Linked DNA regions of Ovis aries. The protein of the gene in region 1 interacts with the protein of each later gene in a biochemical or structural test. Links are inferred from orthologs where the notes say so. Each region holds a gene or a part of one and is shown on either strand. Other genes may lie near its edges.

Region 1 (3,825 bases):
AGGAGGTGAATGAAAATGATGTGTGCCCTTAACAGTAAGGAGACTTGTCTTGCCCAGTCCTTCCTTCATTTCCCTCTTCTACTGGTGGAATCCACCCTTAAGGTGTTGCCCCAAAACATCTGGCCCAGGAGGCTCACCATCACACTGTATCTCTAACCACTATTATTTCCATCAAACCTACAGTCTGATTAAGAGAGAATAAGAATGAGAAAGGCATGGGGGTATATTCTAGACAATGACCACCACCACCACCATACGGGACATCACTAACTCATTCCTATTCCTTGCCCATTTCCTAGGCACTCACCGGCACACCATGGGACATGAGGGTGTTGGGATTCATGAGGGTAACAAGTTGGTGCAGAAGGTCAGGCTGGCTATCAAAGAGCTCAGGTGTCAGCTTCTTCATCACCTCTTCCAAATGTTCTGCTGCAAGTGAGGGTACCCCATACCAGGTCTTCGGCTCACCCCTGGCCAAAAAGAAAGGGGACACGTAGAGTGGGCACTCAAAGAGCCCACCCTGAATGCTTCCTTGGCTGCCCAGGACCCCACTCACCAGTGGAGGTAGTTAATGGAGTAACTCCAGTGATCCTCAATATGCCAACAAAAGGCTGAGAAGACCATGCCCACATACAGCCAGGGCACCTTCATGCCAGAGATATCTGCATTGATGTGGCACAGTACAGACTGTTCCAACACTGGCATCACATTCAGGTTCCAACCACTCGTAGCATACTCCTGATAGGTCAGGTATTTGTGGAAAAGAGATGAGAGTTTTGCTAAGGTGCTGAGTTCTTTAGCCCAGGGAACCTTAATTTTGAGGTCATAGACCTTTCTGAAATGTCTAAAAAATACTACAGATGTTCTTCCCCCTGCCTCCCTCAAATGCATAGAAAAAATTTCAATTCACTTCACCTTACTTCAATTTTAGGAAAGTTTACAGATGTGCCCACTCGCCAAAGTACCTGCCAGTTAAAAGCCCCTGCTCTGGACCAAAATGTACCCTTCTTGCGATACAGGCCTAGGGCCTCTTTATTTCCTGCACTTAACAATCCCAGTCCCTGAACACGTCTTATGAATGAGCCAGGTACTCTGACAGGTACTTCAAATACCTTCTCATTTAATTCTTATAGAATTTGCGAAATGGATACTATTCCCTTTCTACAGACAAAAAATAGCCAATCTCATGGCTGGAGATGCCATGCAAGATACTAGGCTGTGCTCTTTACACACATCCTCCCATCTAAATCTCACAGCAACACATACGGCAGGGATAACAGTCCCCTTCCTATAGAGATACTGAGTCTTTCAGAAACTGAAGGACTTGCCTAAGTCACACAGCTGAATATAACCATGAATCATCTACTCACCTCCTCCTCAGGGGTTAGGTGTCGCTTACTGTCACTGACGGGGAACCCGCTACCAAATTCTTTGGAATGGATGTCAGCCCCATACTCAACAGTTACATCTTCCTCAATGCTATTCACCAGCCGCCAGAATTCCTTCTCCACAAGTTCTGTGGGTACCATCTAAGGAACAGGGGTAGCTGATGACTGTGGCTCATCACATCCTGGCCCCACTGACCCAGGTGAGCTATAGACCATCAGGCGCCTATGACCCTAGCCCTGACACTACCCCAGCCCTCCATCACCTACGTGTACTGGCATGTTGAAGTAATCGGCTTTAAAGGAGTCAGCCATCTCGCCAAAGCTCTGCAGAGTGTATTCCCGGGTAGCCTGCTCAAAGCCAAAGGCTTCAGGGGGGCGCTTACACTCCTGAAACCCAAAGGAGAACACGTCACCAAGGCAGAGGCAAAGAGGTGGAGAATCCCCAAAAGCTGAGCTGGAATATGGGGTAGAAATCGGGAAGGAGAACAGCCCTAGGTTTGTACTGAAGGCCCCTGAGGCAGGTCTCACATCATAGCTCTATCTTTTTCTCCTAGCACTTCAGTGCAGTTAAGTCTCTTCATTCCTCACATGCACTTCTACCATGCTTTCATCTTCTCTTCCTTCAGGACTTGACTATCTAAACCATGGGCTCTGATTTAATATGCTACGCCATGCTCTTCCGTCACTATCTTTCTTTCAAGACAAAATGTGAGCTTATACAGGATGCTTAGAGAAACTTTTTTATGCCGAGACTGGAACTACAGACCTGGGAAAACAACACTGAATATTCCAGTAGCTCGGAGGATGGGAAACAAAGACAACAACCCTTAGTGTCAAACTCCACACTTTCTGTTCTTTAGACTGTCTCATAAGACAGGACATATGTCTGACTCATTTTGTACTTATATTCATGGTTTTAGATGAGAGTTGTATGTACCCGAGGCAGACGCACCTTCTGCTCATGTCTGAAATCTAAATGTCAACCTGGTTTACCAGCCCAAGACCACTTAAAGAAGAGAGCTAAGTAGACCTGACAATCTTTGTTGTCTATGATACTATTGGCATTCAAACTCCTCCCTAAAGGAATCCCCACCACTACCAAGGCATTACACTGCTCCAGTCTCTTTCCTCGTGTGTGTGTATGTGTGTGTATCCGCGTGCACATGCATACCTGGACTCTATGACCACAGCTGACAGGGTGAGAGACTATCAACATCTACTCTCCCAGAAACCCAGGGAAAGATGTAGACGAGCAACCCAGAATTTGGATTAAGGTAAAAGGCTCATGAAATGAAACTGGCAGACTTACCAGGCCTCTTAGCCCTCACGGCTGCTTCAGGTGTTCTCCTCACTGCCTCTCTTGCACTAGGTATGTTATCCCCACATATCCTTACTCCTGAACTCCTTCATCCCCCAGTCTAGAAAGTCTGCCCAATGCTTGTAACTGAAGTCTACAACAGGGCAAACCAATTTAATTATCACAACAGAAGGAAAATAATAAATATTATACCCACATGATGAACCCTTTACAAGAAATCATACCCATGAATAAATAATACAGAAAAATGATTATAAAGTAACAAATGAAAGTACACAGTATGATCCCAGACCTGTTAGTTATATATACCCAACAACGAAAAGATGAGAAGAAAATACACCAGACTATTAACAATGGTTATCTCTAGGTGGTAAGATGATAGGTAATTTGTCTATTTTCCAAGCTTTCAAAAAGAAATAAAAAATAAAAAACTTGGAAATCAAAAGAACATTTTTTTCTTCATATTCCTGTCCTCCAAATCTAATTGCTGACACCTTCCCTGATTACTACTCTTAGTCACTTTCCTCTCCTCTGAACTTCTACATCTGAATTTCTAACACACAATTTAACATTTGATTATATGTCATCATATACAATCTAATTATGAACCTCAACTCCCCAGGTGGTCTGAGAGCTTCCAGAGAACACAGGCTGAATGCCCTCCTCTTCTTTCTCCCAAAGCTCTGCCCAACCTAGACCAACCTCAGGGACCCAAAACATAAGACTGTGGCTGAGCTAGGAGGCTGCTTTCAGTAAGACCAGATGAAGGAAGGCAAGGACAGCCTATGAGGCAGACATAGATTGGGGCTGGGAAGTCCTTACCGCCATGACACACTTTGGACACCGCCAGACACCCTTGGGAATCTCAGGCAAAGGAGGCAACAAGCAGAAGATGTGGTAGTTGTCATCACAGCCATCACACAGCAGGAGCTTGTCATCCTCATCCCCTCGGGAACACATTCGGCACACATATGACTCAATCTGCCAGGGGAGGGAGGCAACAGTTCATCAACCCAAGCCCCGTCCAGCCTTTCAAACATAATACTCCTCCAGACAGTATCCTAGTCCACAGAGATCTCTGTTAGAAACCCACCGTGCTTGATGGCTGGATCATTCATG
Region 2 (2,431 bases), on another chromosome or scaffold:
TTGTTTTACTCCTCTGTACTATTTTGGGTAAGTTTGGTTCTGGTTTTCGGAACGATACCTTAGCCGCCTATCCCCTCCCCCGCCTTTTTTTTTTTTTTACAGTTTGCGCCTTCTGTCTCACGCAGTTAGGAAGATGGGATCCTACGTATCTCGGGATTCTTGTCCCCATTCTTAACAGTTGAAGTACCGAGAAACTACTTGGGGACCGAGGATTTTATCTAACATCTGGCCTAATTCTAGTAACTGTAGAATTGAGCTGAAACCGATTACAGTTATCACATAATGACGGCCTTCTTCAGTATTCAGATTTGTGCTAACGTTTTGTACTAGCAGCTTGGAAAGCGCTAAAAACGAATAGCAGAGAATTTAGCTTCTTGCAAAGTTTTCTCAGCAATGGTTAGGTTCTCCAAAAAAAAATAAGGCTAGGTTGGAGCTCTGCATTAAGAAAGAAAACCAGCTTGTAAGCGCAGTTAAAAACGACCCAGACCTTGCTTCTGGGGCTCCCTCTAGTGTCTGTCAGCTTTAATTCCATAACCTCACCACTCTACGCGTGTTAAACTCTCCTACCCGCTTTGCCCGTAACACTCGTGCATTAAGAGTTCACCGACTAAAGTGAAAGCTGGTACAGCTGCTTTTTAAGAAAACGTGGGTGGCTCTGAAAAGAGCCTTTAGATCGTCTGTTTTTAAAAGTACGCCTTAAGCCCGCTCCCCGCGGATGCGGCGAGCCAGCTGGATGTCTTTGGGCATGATGGTCACGCGCTTGGCGTGGATGGCGCACAGGTTCGTGTCTTCAAACAGCCCCACCAGGTAGGCCTCGCTCGCCTCCTGCAGCGCCATCACGGCCGAGCTCTGGAAGCGCAAATCGGTCTTAAAGTCCTGCGCGATCTCGCGCACCAGCCGCTGGAACGGCAGCTTGCGGATCAGCAGCTCGGTCGACTTCTGGTAGCGCCGGATCTCCCGCAGGGCCACGGTGCCCGGCCGGTAGCGATGCGGCTTCTTGACGCCGCCCGTGGCCGGCGCGCTCTTGCGAGCCGCCTTGGTGGCCAGCTGCTTCCGCGGCGCCTTGCCACCGGTCGACTTGCGGGCAGTCTGCTTCGTACGCGCCATAGTATCTCACAGGTTTTATTCACCGACCCCCTAGGCAGTCTCATTTATAGACGTAGCCTAGTCTTGATTGGACCAGAAAAGCTAGCAATTTCCGAAATTGTAATCTCATTGGTTAGAATTCAATCCTATTTGGGCAGAAGATTGTAATGCTAGTTTCTTTACTTACAACCTCCATTTTCCAGTCCTTTTCTATAATCTTATCACATTTTTTTTAAGCCCTTTTCTTTATATTGCTGTTAACTTTCGTAAGAACAATCTATGAAGTATTTTTGCACGCTTGGGATTTATATTTTAGCAAGTTCTTTAAGAATACAAGCACGCCCTAGGTTTCAGCCTGCATTTCCACTTACTAGTTATTGTAACTCCTCTCCCATAACTAACATTTATTTAGCTCCTGATATTGAGCTAAGCGAGAGCTACATTACGACTGAGGTTCAACAAAACAATATGTAGTTGAAGGAACCGGAAATTAAACTTAACCTTTACCCGGTTCGGAACTACACCAAAATTGTGTGCTGATGCTTACCAACTCAGAGCCGTCTGCCTCCCCCCATCCCCCGAGTGCGGTTTTCTCCTCAATCCATCAATGCATAATTAGGTCCTATGGACAAAACGCTTTAAGTAAGGGAAAATAACACCGGAAATATTAATTTCTCCCTTACAATAGTGAATAGTTTTAAATAGTCAAGTTGCTTATTAGTCATTTAACGTTCAAGGATCAAAGCACATAAATTATTCGTTGATTACTGAGTTGCTAGCATATTTTCAATAAAGTGTTTCCTAATGCTTACAGTTTCAAATCTTTTATATTCTTTATACAGAAATTTAAGATCTTTTGCCTTTTGTTTCCTGTGCTTTGAAGAATTTCTCAGAAAATTACATATAATAAAACAAAAGTTATGTAAGGTTACCAATGCTTAAAATTTTAATAACTAACAAATATATTTAAAATATGCTTATTTGATTGGAACAACATCCCATATAAAAACTCAAACCTGAGAATAAAATTAGGCCCAAGAGGCTCAAAACATAGCTCCAAGGTATGATGATCACTTTCCTGAAGTTAAAAGTGATTTTGAGAGTTTTTCCTGAACGTTAAACACAAGGTAGACAGTATCTGTGATATATGGTTGCCTTAGAAGTCACCTTTAATAACAGAATGCTGATTCATATTAGACGTCTCCTTAGGCAGCAGCAATCGCCTGCCATAGGGAGAAGATCTAAAACATCAGTGAGAAAGTGTTGGTGATATGAACAACTGTTACCATATCCTGTGGTTATTTTGTAATAACGTCTTGTAGATACAGAGCACCGCTCAGTATTT

What was found.
Region 2: the proteins of KDM5C (region 1) and histone H3 form a complex in vitro, tested with the Homo sapiens proteins (3 studies listed by BioGRID, with this or other methods). The link is inferred for Ovis aries from reciprocal best matches to the Homo sapiens genes KDM5C and H3C15.

The regions. Positions count from the first base shown.
Region 1 is NC_056080.1:51,102,565-51,106,389, forward strand, and holds part of KDM5C (lysine-specific demethylase 5C), read right to left. Parts: intron 3,688-3,825; coding exon 3,529-3,687; intron 1,776-3,528; coding exon 1,656-1,775; intron 1,530-1,655; coding exon 1,371-1,529; intron 739-1,370; coding exon 557-738; intron 471-556; coding exon 308-470; intron 1-307. UniProt on the Homo sapiens protein: Histone demethylase that specifically demethylates 'Lys-4' of histone H3, thereby playing a central role in histone code. Does not demethylate histone H3 'Lys-9', H3 'Lys-27', H3 'Lys-36', H3 'Lys-79' or H4 'Lys-20'.
Region 2 is NC_056054.1:99,937,182-99,939,612, forward strand, and holds histone H3, read right to left. Parts: upstream 1,125-2,431; 5' UTR 1,108-1,124; coding exon 697-1,107; 3' UTR 647-696; downstream 1-646. UniProt on the Homo sapiens protein: Core component of nucleosome. Nucleosomes wrap and compact DNA into chromatin, limiting DNA accessibility to the cellular machineries which require DNA as a template.